4 linked regions of the Cricetulus griseus genome follow. The protein of the gene in region 1 interacts with the protein of each later gene in a biochemical or structural test. Links are inferred from orthologs where the notes say so. Each region holds a gene or a part of one and is shown in the gene's direction. Other genes may lie near its edges.

Region 1 (4,297 bases):
CCCATCAATTTTTGACAACTTTTGAGTCTTGTAACTTGCTCACACATCTACTTCGGCAAAAATACCTGCATGAGGGTATTGAAGGTGTATTAACCAGGCCTAGTTTTTACCCCCATCAAGTTTCTGTCTGCCCTCGTTCCCATTAAGAGAGCGTGCATGCGATTCCTTCATCCACTGCATGTGTTAGAACCTTCTAGCAGGTTTGGTAATGATTGTGTAGCCTTTAAAACATTGCATTTTAAATTTTTTATCAGAAATGATTTTAGACAGTAACAGTATATAAATTCTTCATGACTTTACCACTTCTGAAAATTCACTTTTTACAAGTCTAAAACTTGAAACAAACTTTATGCTTATTACCCAATACAAAAAGGTTAACCAGGAAACAAATTTATAAACTATCTCTAAATCTTAAAGTAATTCTCTTCAGTTTCGGTAATCATATTCTTTTTTACATATTTTTTAAATGACAGGCTGCCCTTGAATTCACAGAGGTCTGCCTGCCTCTGCCCCTGAAGCACTAGGGTTAAATGGGTGTACATCCCTGTGGCTGGCTGGCTGGCTCTCATGTCTTAATTTCAAGTCTCAGGCACTGTCGATTCTTTGGGGATTTGAATTATTAAAAGAAAGTGATAGTCTCATAAGTATCTGAAATTCATTAGTCCAGTGTAACTAGCTCATTAAAGTAATTGGAAGGAGATAATCCTTTGGTAGTGTTTATATAACCTATACACTGAAGAAATCTTGGTCTCCAGGCTGGGAATGAAGCTCGGTGAGTGGAGTGTGCCTAGCGTGGATAGAGCCCCAGGGTCAGTTCCCAGCCCCACATAAAATCAGGCTAGGTGGCACAGCCAGCCTGGGTTATGTGATGAACTATCGCAGAGAGAAAGAAAGGTAAGGAGAACAGGAGGGATGGAGATTCATAATTCCAAAATTGCTATAAAAGAGAGTCTGCATTAGTAGCTTCTCAAATCCCTTTTAATAATGTCTAGAAATTGTGGGTGGACATGTGTGTGTGCATCTTTGCAAAAGCTGAAAACAAAAACCTGCTTATTTTCCTTCTGTTTGTCAGTTATATAATAAATATTCTTATCAAATCGACAGGGTTCTCCAGTTAGGATCAGACCCATGCTAGGCAAGCATTCCACCATTAAGCTACACTCCCAGCCTTATATGTAACAGACATTTGTACTCAAAGAAAAGATTTCATTATACCTTGTATTTGAACATCATTTTTGATGTTGGTCAAAATAGAACAAAGCGTCAACTAAATTAGTACCAAAATATGTTCAACAAATTGGCCAACAATTATATTTGTTGTGTATTTTCCCCCACCCCCTTTATTGAGACACACCTCATTATATAGCACTGACTGTCCTGGAACTAGCTGTATAGCCTAGGCTGGCTTTACACTTGAGCAATTTCTCATGCCTCTGCCTCCAGAGTACTGGGATTACAGCTCAATTGTTTGCTTAAGATAGGGTCTTTGGTAGCCTGGGCTAGTTTCAAACATGCTATATAGCCGAGGCTGGCTTTGAACTCCTGATTTGTCCTGCCTCCCAGCCTCCCAGTGGCTGGGTACATATCTATTGTATACCTTCTCAATAGCTAGAATAAAAGGGAAATAACTATGTAGTTGTAGGCTATAACAGAGACTGACACATTTGCCAGTTCCTCAACAGAAACAGTTTTCCCTTGTGAGAAGCGAAGTATTCATAAAGGGGACACAATGATGAGTTGAGTAATGTCCGCTTATCTCATGAACAAGCATAACCATATTTTCTTAGTCTCTGTGAACTTCCGTAAGTCAGCAAGAGTGGCTCTGATGAGGATAAATGCCAGTGTGGAGTGTTTGGGCAGTTTTGACTCAGAACTAATACCTCTGGTGCCTCTATTCAGCTGTCAGGAGAGGTGTGTTTGGTCACACACATAGTGAGCATCTGATTTGGAATTTGCCTTTCTTTGGGCAGGATTTGTACTTCCCATTTTGCATTCTGCTTTGACTTGAAGCCTCCCATTTTATACTTGGATCCTGATCCCATGGTCTGTGAGTATAAACACTGTATAAACTCAGGGAAAAGTGGACATTAATTCTTATATATGAACTTACAGTAAAACTTTAGCCAAGCGATTGTGGCACCTTTAATCCCAGCACTCAGGACGTAGATCTCTGAGTTTGAGGCCAGCCTGGTCTACAGAGTGAGTTCCAGGGCAGCCAGGGCTACGCAGATAAACTGTGTTTCAGAAAGACAAAAACTTAATGGTGATGATTTTGGGATTATGCCCTGTAATACCTGTAGCTTCACATAGAAGGCTGAAGATGGCTTCTTTTATGAGAGCTGAAATGGATGACTATTTTACTTCATAGGAGCCAAAGGGAAGAAGTTGTTTTCCTTAGAAAAATCACTCTGTGATCTGCTGTAAGTTACAAATACATGAACTAGATCCAGAGATTGAGACTACTCCACACCATAGCCATTCTACTACAGAATTTTGAATGTATGCTCTAACATAGTAACTGCAGGCTCTCCATGCATGGTTATATGGTGGTTTCTGAAAACTAAGAGTGGAACAGTGTGATGGTCCAGTGGGTAAAAGCTAGCCTGGAACTGTGTGTAGCCAAGGGTGACTGGGAACTCAGGGTCCCTCCACTGCAACCCCCAGAGTCTTACAGTCATGAGCTATTGTAGGTGGCTTATTATTTTTCTATTAGTCTAGTTTCTTTAGTCATGTTTATAAAGTAAGTAGACACAGTGTCTTGCTTAAAGAAGACTGCTCTTGCTTCTCGTAGTGTCAGGGTGCATCACGGCATGCACTTATCCAAAAGAAGGGCCAAAACACTGTGTTCCTGGTTTTAAAAGAAGAAAATCCAGCCAGGCATTGTTTTATGTATCCCTAATCCCAGCACTTGAGAGATGGGATGAAGGATTTCAGGTTCGGGGCTAGCCTGGGCTACCTAGTGAGTTGCAGGCCAGCCTGAGATATCTATCAAGACTTTATGTTAAAAAACAAAGAAACAATCATCATCTAAAGAGATGGCTCAGCAATTAAGAACATTTGCTGAGTCAGGGGGTTGGTGGCACATGCCTTTAACCCCAGCACTTGGGAGGCAGAGGCAGGCAGATCTCTGTCAGTTTGAGGCCAATGTGGTCTACAGAGTGAGTTCCAGGACAGCCAGAGCTGTTACACAGAGAAACTCTGTCTTGAAAAACAAACAAACAAACAAACAAATAAAAGAGCACTTGCTGTTCTTCCAAAGGACCCAGCACACCCCCATCAGCCTGCTTAAAACCACCAGGAACTGCAGCTCTAAGGGATGTGATCCTTTCTCTGCATGGACAGCCCGCATATGTGTGGCACTCGCACTAAAAATAAATATAAAAACAAAAGAAAGAACTAAATTCAGCCTTGGTGTTCCAATCCAATTCCCCATGTTTGCATTGTTTGTATTATATGCTGAGCTTGTGTGTATTTTTAAGAAGAACTGTCTCCTGGATGTAGAATCATAAAGACATTGTTACAAAATTATGTTTTAAAAATCACAATAGGAAAGAGAGCTTGAAGCAAATAAAACAGAAAAAGTCAAAGAAGCTCAACTTGAAGCTGAGGTGAAGCTGCTAAGGAAGGAGAACGAGGCCCTCCGAAGGCACATAGCTGTCCTCCAGGCTGAAGTCTATGGGGCGAGACTGGCTGCCAAGTACTTGGATAAGGAGCTGGCGGGCAGGTGTGTAAAGGACGGCTCTGCTTGTGTTCTTAGATGGCGAGTGGTTGGCTCATCTCTTATGAATGAACTATTTTACCCTCAGTCATTTTCATATGTAGCTACATGATAGTAGTGTTGAATTAATATTGGCAGCATTATGTATTTCAGATTGATTTATCCATACATACTAAATAAGCATATTTTACAAACACAGACTGATGCTAACTTACTGTGAGATGCCTGTAACTCTGCAGAGTAATAACTTTCACTTATTTCCTGCCTTGACTCTGCAACAGGCAGTGCTCATGTGGTCAGCAGGAAGGAATCCCTGGGCCCTTTACAGCTGATCTTTTTGGACCCTCAAATATATTTAAGAATAAAAGTAATTTTATTATAAAGTTCTGTTGGCTTTAATATTGTTAGTGGCATTAGTCGCAAACTTTGGTGACATGCTAGTATCAAAACATTTTAGGACTGGGGAGATGGCTCAGAGGTTAAGAGCACTGGCTGCTCTTCCAGAGATCCTGAGTTCAATTCTCAGTAACCACATGGTGGCTCACAACCATCTATAATGAGATCTGGTCCCCCCTTCTG
Region 2 (3,720 bases), on another chromosome or scaffold:
TAAGTGCAGAAGTTCATGGAGGGCAGAAATATCAGATCTCCCTGGAGCTGGAGTTACAGGCAGTTGTGAGCTGCCCAACATAAATGCAGGAATCAAATTTGGGTCTCTGCAAGACCAACCTACACTCTTAACTGATGGGATGCCTTTCCTGGCACTAAATGACTGTATTTTCCATGCCCAAGTTCTGTGACTTCAAAGTTGGGGGACCTGCTCTATTTACTCCTTCTCCTTATAATATTTTATCCATGCTTTACTCAAAGATCTTAACACTTATTGAAACATGTTCTAGGTATACTAGTTAAATCGTCTTATTTTATTTCAATTTTTCCAGGTGAATCCACTGCTGGTCCCTTCTCCTTGGTTTTTCAGGTCATACTCCTTAGCATCCTTGAGCCTTGAGAACTTGGACTTTGGTGCATTGGCTTGTGGGGAAGAACATTTTCATTTCCTTGTTGCTGCTGCTGCTGTTCACTCTAGGATCCCCACACTCCAGCCTGCCTTTCCTTGTTCTTCAGATTGCAGTTGCCTCTGCTTGATCCTGGTTACCCCACAACGAGGTTCTGCTCTTACAGCTGTTGGAGTGTCCCATGTCTGCCATGGTTCACGCCATTACAGATCAGCTGAGCAGGCCCAGGTTTCTGAGGGTGGAATAGGTAGTGGACAGCCTGACTCAGGCTGAGGGCTCCTGCCTCCCCACGGCCTGTCCCTGGCCTGTGACCTCCAGGTACTTCAGTTCCTTGCTAGTTGCCCAACCATAGACACCAGTCCTGCCCATCTCTTCCTTTCCCAGCAGCAGAGGTGTTTGTTTCCTCTTGGGCATCTTCGCTTTTATGAAAGACTCAAACACAAAGAAACAAAAGCAAGAGAGAGTGTATGCACCTGCCACTCATCTGTCAGACACTGTCCTCCCACAACAGCCGCTCTACTTTCTTCACAAAGCCCATGAGCAGGCCCTGTGTCCTTACTCTGCTTCCCAGGCTTTAGTTCTCCTGGTTCTGCCATGTGCTGGGCTGTATGCCCCCCCCCAGGCATTGCCCACAGCCTGATGTGTTACTGTTGGCTGTTACGTCAGTTCCATGTTTTCCCTCCCTGCACTAGGCACAGGGACCTCTGGAGTCATCGCTGCTGCAGAGAGGCTTAGGCCCTGTTGGGAGTAGAAATTGTCTACTGGGGACAGCATTCCCTAGGATCTCCCACCCCAGAGAGAGTCCAACCTTCAACTTACTGGCAGAGCAGACCTAGGGTGCCACATGTGTTGAGTATGATCAGCTTACTGCAAGCGTGGCATCTCAGCCTCCCCATCCTTCTCTATCAGCCACTTCTCATAGTTTGGGGACCCCTGGAAGGTGATACCCACTGAGCTTATGTCACTTTCCTGAAATGCTGCCCTCCAGGGCTCTGAGAGGTTTTGAGAGAGGGTGCTTGACAGTAGGCCAAGCCCAGGGGACGAGGGGGGGTGTCACAGTGGCTTCTTCTTTCTCTCCAGCTTGTTTTCCAAACAATTTGCTTAATGCAATTCCCGACCAAGTTGAACATGACTAATGTTGTTTACCCACCACCGTCGGGCAGGCGGGCTGGGGATGGCTGGAGGAAGGAATGCCTGAATGTGCTCACTCATAACACCCTCTTCTCTTGCAGAGCCCCACGTGGGCTGGTACCTGGCCTGAAGCTGGCAGCATGGAGCCCCTCTTCCCAGCTTCCACACCCATCTGGAATGCCTCAGCTGCTTCCAGTAGTAACCATAACTGGTCACTGGTGAGCCCGGTATCGTCGATGGGAGCCCGGGCAGTACTGGTGCCTGTGCTCTACTTGCTGGTGTGCACGGTAGGCCTGGGTGGAAATACACTGGTCATCTATGTGGTGCTGCGGCATGCCAAGATGAAGACAGTTACTAATGTGTACATCCTGAACCTGGCTGTGGCTGACGTATTGCTTATGTTGGGGCTTCCCTTCCTGGCTACACAGAACGCCGTTTCCTACTGGCCCTTTGGCCCCTTCCTGTGCCGCCTGGTCATGACGCTGGATGGCATCAACCAGTTCACCAGTATCTTCTGCCTGATGGTCATGAGTGTTGACCGCTACCTAGCTGTGGTCCACCCTCTCCGCTCAGCCCGATGGCGTCGCCCGAGGGTAGCCAAGCTGGCCAGCGCCGCTGTCTGGGTCTTCTCACTGCTCATGTCTCTGCCACTCCTGGTCTTCGCAGATGTCCAGGAGGGCTGGGGTACCTGCAACCTAAGCTGGCCAGAACCTGTGGAACTGTGGGGCGCAGCCTTCATAACCTACACATCTGTCCTGGGCTTCTTTGGGCCCCTGCTGGTCATCTGTTTGTGCTACCTGCTCATTGTGGTGAAGGTGAAGGCTGCAGGTGTGCGTGTAGGCTCCTCTCGGCGACGGCGCTCAGAGCGCAAGGTGACTCGCATGGTGGTGGTGGTAGTGCTAGTGTTCGTGGGCTGCTGGCTGCCTTTCTTCATTGTCAACATTGTCAACCTGGCCTTCACACTGCCTGAGGAACCTGCCTCTGCTGGCCTCTACTTCTTCGTGGTGGTCCTGTCTTATGCTAACAGCTGTGCCAATCCCCTGCTCTATGGCTTTCTCTCTGATAACTTCCGCCAGAGTTTCCGGAAGGTTCTGTGCCTACGTAGAGGATACGGTATGGAGGATGCAGATGCCATAGAGCCACGTCCAGACAAGAGTGGACGGCCACAGGCCACACTGCCCACACGCAGCTGTGACGCCAATGGACTCATGCAGACCAGCAGGCTTTGAGTGCCCCAGTCGTACCAGGGTCCTGCTGATGTTGTCTTCTAGGATGTGGGTGTGCTGAGATGCTCTTGTCCCCAGGTCTACAAGTTGGACTCCTCTTGGTGGCAGTGTGAAGAGAGCTGCCTGAGGCTAAGCCATGGGTAGATAGTACAGCTGGTGTCCTGTGGTGACTGACCATCTCTTTCATCAAAATGTCCTGCCAGGCCAGGGTCTGAGAGTTTGGAGATCATGAGACAGACTTGGCAGGGAGGAAGGGCTGAGTTTTGCCCCCCCCCAGGAAATAATCAGGCACCTTCACTCTCTATGTGGCATACTTGTCAGCCTCTCAGGCCAAGAAGCAATTTCCCAGGAGGAAGCCAGGAGATACTGTTGGTTTGTGCCAGTGACTGCCCACCCTGAAGCTGTGCTGGGCCCTCAACCACTGCTGTGTCCATGTTCTGGTCAGCATGGAAGCCAAATGAAAAGCATCCATGTGTGCTTGACCCTGGCCTCTGCTCACAGTCCGAGGCCTCTGTCACTTGCAGCTGCATGTACTTTGAGGCAACAGGAGAAGCTGCTGCACTGGCCCTGGGACAGAGATAAAACCCTACTCTGGGGCCCTGCTCTGGCCTTTCCACATCTTTCTCTAGCATGAAGAAAGTGAGGCCTTGGCCTCCACAGTGGGAGTGGGTGTGCAGAGCAGACACACAGTGAAGAGTGAGAAGAGGAATAGACTCACCAGGATCTGGTCTATTCAGAGTGGCCCAGTAAGGGTGGCCCTGAGGAAAGACTCTACGGAGGCATCCCTGAGGTTCAGAGACTGAGAACACATGGGGGAATTAATAGCACTCCTTCTCCTTAAGACTAGGACTCTGTTCTTGGAAAGGGGGCAAGGTGAACGGGTATCAGGCAGGAACTGCTCCCAGTGCAAACAGCACAGCCTGGAAAGACCTACTGTGTGAGAGAGTGCAAATGCCA
Region 3 (4,783 bases), about 240 Mb from region 1:
ACTATGTAGCTCTGGCCAGCCTGGAATTCAGAGGCTCTGTTGCCTTCCTAATGCTAGAATTAAAGTCGTGCACCATTACACCTCACTTAAAAATGTTATTGCATGCAAATTTATTGGGAGAAGTTGTCTCTGGGCCAGAGCACGTTTGTGGAGGTCAGAGGACAACTTGTGGGTGTTGGTTCTCTCCTTCACCATCTGGGACCTGAGAGTCACCCACAGCATCGGTCTCGCAGGCAAGCTCATTTACCCATTGAGCCGTCTCACAAGTCCATCCCACACCCTTCTAAAGACGAATGTACTCCCGATCCTGTGTGACTTTGGATAAATCACTTCCTATTTCTGAGTGTCTAGTAGGAGGTGGTGAGTTCTCAAGAGAATCACAAGCCACCTGGAGGTATAGGTCCATGGTACCAAATGCAACTTAGCGTGCAAAGCCTGGCTCCCATACCCAGAACCAACTAAGCAAGGGAACACAAACACACTCACAGACACACACACACACACACACACACACACACACTCACACACACACACACACACACACAAACACACACACACACACATACACACACACACACACACACAAACACACACACACGGCAGGAGGCTTTTAGGAAACTAACCAGCTTGTCGTTGGGCTATCTCACCTGAGACCACACCTGGGCCCTACGACCTCTTTAGGCGTAGGCCAAATCCTGCCTGAGGGAATCGTGACCCCACTAGGCCTAGACTTTGCCCTCTTCACAGGGCTTCAAGTTCAAACCAGACCACCATCCGGCCTGGCGCGGAAGAGACGCTGGACCTGGCCTGAAACCAGCGCCCTCAAGCGATAGGGCACAGACTGGGAGGGAAAAAATGCGTGTTGAGAAATCACCCTGGGGGCGCTGTGGGTCCTGACGCTGGGACATGGGGATCACTTAAGAGACCCCAGGTGGGCTCCCTGCTGTGCGGAGGCTTGCGGAGGGAGAGCCTGAGGACACACGGCCCCGGATCCTTCCAAGCCTCTGTCTGGATCAGGCCCAGGACATCCCTGGTAGGGTGGCAGCCCCTCCCGCTGGAGGGAGAAGGCACATCTGGGTTAAGATTCCAAATGCTGCGAGGACGGGACAACGGTGGCCCGGGCGGGGTCTGCGCGGGGACACACAGGCCGGGAAGAAGGAAGCCGCAGACTCTCCGGCGGGCAGGGCCCCGAGTGGGCCAGGGGCTCGAGGGAAGGCGGGGCCGACTCCCAGCGCGTTGGGGGCGGGGGTCCGCGCCGGGAATGCCGCGCCGTGGGGATGGGCGGGGCTGCCCAGGCCCCGCCCCCGCGCAGGTAGCCAATGGGCGCGGCGGCGCCGGGTGACGGAGGGAGCCGAAGTGCGAGTGCCGCGGCGGCGGCGGCGGCGGACGGCCCAGCCGGAGCGCGAGGGCGCGGGCGCGCGGGGGGTCTCAGTGCAGCGCCGGGGACCCCGGGGCCCGGAGGCAGCGCAGCCCGGGGCCGCCGAGAGCAGCGCGAGCGGGTCGGCGGCGGCGCGATGCCGCTCGCCCAGCTCAAGGAGCCCTGGCCGCTCATGGAGCTGGTGCCGCTGGACCCGGAGGTGAGTGAGAGGGGCGGGGGACAGGCGGCGGCGGCCGGCCGGCCAGCCCGCGGATCCGCACAGGGGCGGGGCGGCCCGCGTCGTCTCTGCAGCCCCGCGAGGACGCGAGTGCCCTCTGGTCTCTAGCCCACTGGCCGGCTCCACCCCCCTGTGCTCCGGGTGTGCGTGTGCAGGGCACGGTTCTGCTGGACGCTCAGTACCTCCTTGCAGTAGCCAGGAGAGGGAACCCCACGGGCTCTCGAGATTTGACACCCTAAGCACCCCTAGGACTCGTCCCGCTTATCATCTTTTGGGAGCTGTGGGAGTTGCCCCAGTCATTGCAGAAGGGAAAGGCTTGGGTCAGATGTCTGAGGTTCTGTTAGAGACAAGGATCATGGGAATCTGGTTTCTCCCCGTATCTTCTCTTCAAGAGCTCTCTTCGTTCCTCCACTTCTGACCTTAGGAAGGTAGCCCTTCTGGACCGTGGCAGTTATGGAATGTGGGATTTTACCACCTCTGGAGTGGGGACCTCCTGGTTTCCTTTGCCCTAATGCTAATGACACACGGGTCTCCTCCTTCAGGTTATGCTGAAGAGAGGGGAGAGCCCTTAGACCTTGTGAAGATTGTCTCTGGGGAAGAGACCCCGCATCCGTCTTCCTCTCTCCCTCCTTCTTCCTTTCCTGGAGAAAAGGCTGGGCCCTTGGGCAGTGTGGCTTCTACCATCTAGTCTCTCCCAGAAGCAGCTCCTATCCTACCAGGGCTTTGTGGTCCAACCCTGAGCATGTAGGAGGCCACTTTTGGTGGTGTCCAGTGACCCTGGGATCAAGGTCAAGTCTTAAACCAGCAAGTTGAAAACTTTGCCCTGCTCTCATACTGGGAAGGAGGCAGGTGAAACTTTGCCTTAACTGGAGCTGTTAGGGTACAGAAGACAGATGGAGACCTCACTTGACCCCAGAACCTAGATGATCTTTCTGCTGGCTTGAACCCTTACCTATGTTTGGGACCTCAGGGCAGTCACCATCGGTCCTGCCTGTCAGGGCCACAGGTAGAGGGATCCACAGTGGGGACCCCAGGTCTTCAGGCACCCAGAGCATGCTGCCCCTTTAAAGGGATGGGCTACACTGGCTATTGGAGGGTGGGCGCGGCTGGATTAGGTAACCAACCTGAAGGCGCAATTTGGAGTAAATTGTTCTGGGATCCCTGCCATGGGGTTTTTACAGGCCCTACACAGCCCTCAGAGGTTCTCTCGCTGACTCACCCTGGTAGGTGAGGAGCACTGCCCTGTGCAGCCCCTGTTGCCTTCCCCCCCACCTCAGGGCTGGGCACAAGGCCTGCGGGAAGGCTCAGAGGTGTATTCCTTTGCCTGGGCACGCCCCTGCCACCTGGGCCTCCAGAGGAAGGTCGAGCTGAGCTGGGTATGGTTAGGGAGGGACTTAGCCTGGCGATTCACAGTGTTACACTAGCAGGGAGGGTAGAGATCTGGTAGCCCTGGCCTCCTCCAGGGCAGCACTTCCTGCTTCCCTTTGGGAAATCCTGAGGCCACAGCCAGCTTCATAGGGGCCAGGTTAAACCGGAAACTTCTTAGTTTGAACACTGTTGCACCTGAATTTGGGGAGAGGAGACTGTCGGATTTCCTGGGATGGGGAGAGGAGTTTACAATGAGTTTTACTTCAGAAATGCTGAGTGGCCCGTAGTCCATGTTCCGGCTCTCTTGGGCTTCTCTTTTCACTGCCACAAATGCACTTCTAAATCTGCTTCCTGGGCCTGACAAGGTGCAAAACCCTGGGTACTGCTGTTGGTGTCCCCTCCCCCCGGGCCATGGAGGTGCCAGTGGACTGGGTGTTATTGTCTGGGTAACAGGAGCCATGGGGCAGTGAGGGTGTGCATTCTTACTTGAGAACAGGGCCTTGCTGTTCTTAGTGCAGATGGCATGTAAGCGATACATGTGCCTGACCCGCAGGTACTGGCGCCATTGTGGGCAGCTTCTAGCCAGGAAGGAAGCAGGTAAGGGGGCTGGCAGGGGCATTTGGCAAAAGAGGTTTGGGATCTGAATTGCCCTGCCTTCCCATTGCTATCACCAAAAAGTGGGCTGCTGGGCCCAGGTGGAATAAACCAGTCCGAAGTGTGGGTGAGGATGCTGCCTGGGTTTTCTTGGTTTGGGCAAAAACAAGAGAGTCTGGTCTCCAGGCCCTATCCTGCCAGGCTTCACTATCTGGTGTCCATGGATGTTATATGACTTTAATTTTCACAACTTCTCAAGATAGAAATTATGACTCCCATTTTCAGAGGGGACAGCTGAATTTAGAAATGCTGGCACCTGCATTAATATGTGGGGCAGGATTGGAACTCAGGGCTCTTGCTGTTTCCTACCAAGCAATGGAGACTTAAAGATGAGCATGGGCTAGGTTTAAACTGGCACAGGTGGCAGGTACTCCAAGAGCAGCTCCGGATGTTGGCACAAACTTCTCAGTCCGCAGGGCCCTTGTCCAGCCTTGGCGGAGGGCTAGCGGTGTCCTGGCACTTGGCCCCCAGGCTCCAGCAGTGTACAGGGCTGCCAATGCTGGGCTCAGACCCCAGTTCCTGGGGCTGCTTCCTGCCTGCGGGGCATGTACTATCTTTCTCCATCTGTTCTGTTCTGCTCTTGACTTTTCCAGGAGCTGCTCTGCACCCTTAAGTGGGAAGAGGCATGTCTTCCGACTCTGGGAAGGGGTGCAGTGCTCTAGGGGTTCTGAGCAGGTGTCCATCCTCCCAATTGGTGCTCCTGAGGAAGAGAGGAGAATGGAGTGCTCCAAGAAGCCAAAGGTCTAGTCTGTTCCTCAACCCCTTTCCTTCCTTTCCTTTCCTTCCCTTCTTCTAGGGCCTTGTTTGTGCTAGACAGGCACTCTACCTCTGAGCTAAACCTCCTCCCCATAGGCCTTTTAAAAAATTATTATTAAAGATTTATTTGTGTTATTCTCATGAGTGTGTGTGTGTGCGTGCGTGCATGCGAGCATGTGTTGGTGTCAGCAGGAGCATTGGATTCCCTGAAGCTGAAGTAACAGGCGATTGTGAGCTGCTCTACATGGGTGCTAGGATTTGAACTCAGGTCCTCTGGAAGAGCAGCAAGTGCTCTTAACCACTGAGCTATCTTTCCAATCCACCCTAGTCTTTTTAGGACTTTATTCAGTATACTATACGGCTGCTGACAAGGTAGATGTGTCGTCTTGATATGGAGAAAGAAACCGAGG
Region 4 (4,748 bases), on another chromosome or scaffold:
CCAGGAGTGAGTTCCCTGTCCCCAGGGCTGATAGCAGAGCAGCACCTGTACCTGCACAGAATGGGGGGACTGGAGACTGTTGAGTTTCATACTTGTGTCAGTAAGAGTCCTGGGGTGAGATGGAGGGAGGGTGCCTGAGGTGGGGGAATGGATGAAAGCCCACTAAGGACTTAAGGGTATAGTGTGGCTCTGTAAGTCACCAGGATTAGGGATGGCTCTTATGGGAGTGGGTCCAGGCTGTGGTCAGGAATACAAATGCATGGTGGGAAAGAAGGCAGAAGAGCCTGCCTTTGTCATCAATATATGACAGAAGGGGAAGTGAGTACTGGTGAGGCTGGGGGGACTGGCCCCTGAAGGGAGCCAGACAGATGGACAGATAGACAGATGGGGACACATGCACACACACACACACACACACACACACAGAGAGAGAGAGAGAGAGAGAGAGAGAGAGAGACTGACTTAGCCCATCCACAGTCAAATTAAAACTAGGGCTCCATTTGCTTCTCAAGCTGGATGTGGTGGTCCTTATTGATAATCCTCTTGATCCTAGGACCCCTAAAGAGGGAACAGGAGAGCAGAGTGGGGTGACTATGTGGAGAACACTCCCAGGGTTGCCATCCTACCTGGGGATTCTTCTCACGGTGGTTAGGTCCCCAGTGGAGAAAAGACAGCCTGTCGTAGTTCCCCTCTCCCACCCCACATGCTTCTGGACCCCATTTGCAGAATGAATCCCAACAGACGAGGCCCCAGCCCATCTCCACCTCCCTAGTTAGGTCAGCTAACAACTACTGAGTATGTAAATCCTCATTGAGCGCCCATTGTGTACCCAAAAACATCATTCATTAGCCTCATTGCCAGAATGAATACAGTGTAAGCACAGACACAGGGGAGGCCTGCACTTGCTTTAGAGCAAGGACACTGAGGCCCGGAGAGGTCACATGGCCCACTCATCCAGACTCCCACCTGTAGAGAGGATAGTAACCCAAGAAAGTGCTCATCATTGTTGGGGTGGGGCTGTTCATTCAAGAAGGGATCGTCTTCCGGTCATAGGACTCATGGCTGAAACCCTGGAGTCAGAGTAACACTGGGCCCTCAGTAGGGTTAAAGGCCTTCCCTGGAATAGGTGACCCATCTTCCCAGACACAATCATTTCTTTAGCGCCTCAGTTTCCCCATCTTCAGTAGCCATATCCATGCTGTCCCCGGGGTGAATTAAGCCATTGTAGATATCGCAGGACATCGGAAGAGCTTGAAACATGAGGCTCAATTTGCAATGACTGGTAGTCATTGACAGGGATGAAGGCTCAGGAGGAGCTCATAACCACGGGCCTGAAATACCACAGAGGTAAGGAAGGTGGAGGGTTGTGTGCAAATGTGTGTGCATGCACTTGGAGCGACCGCGTTAGACATGTTTGGGGTCTGTGCCTCCATTCCAGGCCCTGCGTGAACCAGGCAATTTCAAACATTCTGGATGGGACCAGGAGACTGGGCAAGGGTAGGATGCTGGGCAGAGGAGGGGGGGCAAGAATCATCAGCTCAGACTGATGAGTACCCCCCTAACAGTGTCCTGTACCCCCTTGTGTCCACAGGCCCTTCTCCTCCTGGGGCTGAACCCTGTCTCCACCTCCCTGCAAGACCAGCGCTGTGAGAGCCTGTCCCTGGCCAGCAATGTCTCTGGTGAGTCATCCCTGCCCCTTAGCTCCCAGGTTCCCACAGGATCTCCTTCCCTAGAGCTCTGAGCAGCGACCTGTATAGAAAAATCTCTGGAACTGGAGTCAGTGAGGGTAAAGGGGCCTGTAGTTATCCAGGAGCCTCGTCTGTGGGCACAGGAAACACACTCAGCAAAGGTGCCTTGTGGTCACCATCCCAGGGGGCAACAGGGGAAAGCCCTCCAGGCCTCACTGCTGAGGATATTGGCAAAAGGTCCAAGGCTGCTGCTGTTGCTAAATATGCTGGAGAGTAAGGCTACATGCTGCTAGCACCAGGGATTTGAGATCCTGTCACCCATCTGACTCCAAAGGCAACTGAGGCACAGACAAGCACTAAGTGCTAGAGCCTGGGTTGCAAAGGCAGTCTGGCTCCCTGGTGATGCTCAATACCTGCCCAATAGAAAATTCTAGGTAAGGGGCTGGAGAGATAACACAGTGGTTAAGAGCACTGCGCGTTCTTCTAGAGGACCCGGGTTCAGTTCCCAATACTGGTACTCACAGGAAGATGATGCCCTGGACTTCTTTGGGCTTTGCTTTGCCCAAATTGAGGGAGGGGGATCCTGAGGTTAAATGCACTGAGTTTTGCAGGTTTGTTTCATAAGCTGTAACATCCAGACAGCTACTGGGTATAATCATGGGTAGCTTTTTCAAAGTACTTACTGTGCACCTAGGAGAAAGAGAAAGTACACCCTACGATTGCTTGCTTACTACAACGGAGGGTGTCAGGGAGGCTAGGATAGGGGTAGGGCAAATCCCAGAAGCCTTCCTGAAGGAGGGGTTTTTAAGTGAGCCTAGAGATAGAGCAGTCAGTGATTGAACACCAGTGGCTAAGTTGGCAGAAGGACTCACCAAGGTGAAGAAGGCCCTGGCCGTCCCAGCATTGGACTACCCACTGGCTGGGTTGAGCAGGGAGTGCGTTGCTCTCAGCCTATCAGCAGTGGCAGCCAAGGACAGGCAGGGAGGATGCCTGGAGGAAAGGTCCCCGTCCCTCCTCTCCACCCCAGGCCAGGTCAGGCTCCATTAACTTGCTCCTATTCAAGAGAAGTGACACCCTGGAGCCACACAGGTGTCACCTGTCCTTGGAGGCAGCAGGCTGTGAGGGATGATGTTCATTCTTCCGTGATTTGTGCTGGATGCCCCACCCCCTCCCAGCCTGCCTGGCTCCATAGGATGCAATCCATCACCTTCCACAGTGGCCTCCGCTCTGGCCATTTGTCATCTGATGGGCATTGGCAGAGACAGATGGTGAGAGTGGGGTGGAGGGCCCGGGACAGATGGATGGGCGTCTGGCCCGAGTGGCTGGCACTGTGCTGAAACCTTTGGGGGCCTTGCACATGCCTCATGCCAGAAGTAAGGAGGGGCTAGGTTCCCATGGCCAAGGCCCCCATCATGTGACAGATTATAGACTTGGCAACTTATAAAATCATGGCATGAGTATGACTGTGCCAGAAAGTAATAGAATTACTGACTAGTAACACCCCAGATAAGTGGAGTCAGGGCTCAGGAGGACGTGGGGTCACTAGTTCCCATCGCTGTTCTTAAGGCGGTAACGATGAACAACAAACCGTAATAATAACAGCTGATTCGTGTGGATGTCCACTTCATGTTGGGCACAATTCTAGGTGCTCAGCCTCATCCGGTCATCACAATAGATTCAGCAAGGATTTTGGTTCCCGCTTTAGAGAAAAGGAACCTTACACTCAGAAAGGTTGAGTAACTTGGACTGAGCACACACAGTTGCCAAGCACTGGCCACAGGGGTTGAGCCAACTGAGCCTGATTTCAGATTTAATACATTATGTGGTCACTTAAGAGATCTGTCATATCCAGGGCCCAATGTTACTTGGAGACACAGTGTCACTTGGAGGTGCAGTGTCAGCCCTGCAGTTTTCCCTGAGCACACTAAACTTGTATATGGCCCTATGGTTTCTTCAGCACCTACTATGTGCCTGGACTTCTACAAGGTATTGAGTGCAAACATCAGGAGTGGTCAGAGCACAAGGCAGGAAGCCTCACAGGCTTCTACCTCTCTCTTCGTGTGGCCCACACTCTACAGAGACACCTTTCTTCACCCTGCTAAAGAGGCAGCTTAACCCGAGGTGCCAAGACTGCCTGCCTGCCCCGTGCCTCTGTCTGTGCCGTGTCACCCAAACAGAGCAACTGCCCTTTCATCCCAGAGCACTCTCCTCCTAGCAGGAGTACCCATCTTTGAGGTTGCCCTAGAGCACCTTCCTGCTCCCCAGGAAGCCTCGGAGGAGTGTCCCCAGTCTCAAATCAGATAGGTAGATCAGATCTTCCTACCTGAAAGGGGGCTGCCAAGTGCTCACACCCTCTGTGGTTCACTCAGAAGCGTGTGATGGAAGACCACTCCTAACTGGGACAGGAGCATGGTTCTAGTTTCCTTCCAGCATTACCTACAGCACGAGGGCCCTCTGCGCACATTAGGGCACTAAGCTTGATAGGGAGGGAATTGTGTGGCCAACTTGACAGAAGAAACCAGTGCCCAACTGTGCACAAGCAGAAACTGGGCCACCCTTCAAAGGGCCCTTATCTGTTATCTGCGTGACACAGTGACGAGAATGTCAACCCCAGAGACCTCAGCAAACACCTGCCTCAGGACCTTTGTATCGGCTGCTCCCTCTTCACCATCTATGCCCATGACTCCCTCCCTCCCTTCAAGTTCATAATTAAACTTAGTGTTTTAGAGAAACTCCAAATTAAAATAGCATCTAGTTCGTCTTTATTTCCGTACATTGTTTGTAGTATTTCTCACAGGATAGCACATGCTTGCTCAATCACTCTGTCTCCCGCTAGGATGCAATCACCCTTGGGACAGGACATCTTTTATTCTTTCTGTTTTGTTTTGTTTTGCTGTTTTTTCGAGACAGGATTTCTCTGTGTAGCCCTGGCTGCCCTGAAACTTGCTCTGTAGACCAGGGTGGCCTCAAACTTACAGAGATCGCCTGCCTCTGCCTTCTGAATGCAGGGATTAAAGACATGTGCCACCACTGCCCGACCTGTTTCATTCATTTTATATC

The links.
Region 2: the proteins of Gopc (region 1) and Sstr5 form a complex in vitro, tested with the Homo sapiens proteins (2 studies listed by BioGRID and IntAct, with this or other methods). The link is inferred for Cricetulus griseus from reciprocal best matches to the Homo sapiens genes GOPC and SSTR5.
Region 3: the proteins of Gopc (region 1) and Rps6ka1 interact in a test that uses a peptide from one of them, tested with the Homo sapiens proteins (2 studies listed by BioGRID and IntAct, with this or other methods). The link is inferred for Cricetulus griseus from reciprocal best matches to the Homo sapiens genes GOPC and RPS6KA1.
Region 4: the proteins of Gopc (region 1) and corticotropin-releasing factor receptor 1 form a complex in vitro, tested with the Homo sapiens proteins (2 studies listed by BioGRID and IntAct, with this or other methods). The link is inferred for Cricetulus griseus from reciprocal best matches to the Homo sapiens genes GOPC and CRHR1.

The regions. Positions count from the first base shown.
Region 1 is NC_048595.1:256,523,505-256,527,801, forward strand, and holds part of Gopc (Golgi-associated PDZ and coiled-coil motif-containing protein), read left to right. Parts: intron 1-3,548; coding exon 3,549-3,724; intron 3,725-4,297.
Region 2 is NC_048600.1:45,082,276-45,085,995, reverse strand, and holds Sstr5 (somatostatin receptor type 5), read left to right. Parts: upstream 1-1,604; 5' UTR 1,605-1,677; coding exon 1,678-2,766; downstream 2,767-3,720.
Region 3 is NC_048595.1:19,392,753-19,397,535, forward strand, and holds the start of Rps6ka1 (ribosomal protein S6 kinase alpha-1), read left to right. Parts: upstream 1-1,388; 5' UTR 1,389-1,514; coding exon 1,515-1,577; intron 1,578-4,783. UniProt on the Homo sapiens protein: Serine/threonine-protein kinase that acts downstream of ERK (MAPK1/ERK2 and MAPK3/ERK1) signaling and mediates mitogenic and stress-induced activation of the transcription factors CREB1, ETV1/ER81 and NR4A1/NUR77, regulates translation through RPS6 and EIF4B phosphorylation, and mediates cellular proliferation, survival, and differentiation by modulating mTOR signaling and repressing pro-apoptotic function of BAD and DAPK1.
Region 4 is NC_048600.1:117,186,918-117,191,665, forward strand, and holds the start of corticotropin-releasing factor receptor 1, read left to right. Parts: upstream 1-1,473; coding exon 1,474-1,497; intron 1,498-1,591; coding exon 1,592-1,679; intron 1,680-4,748.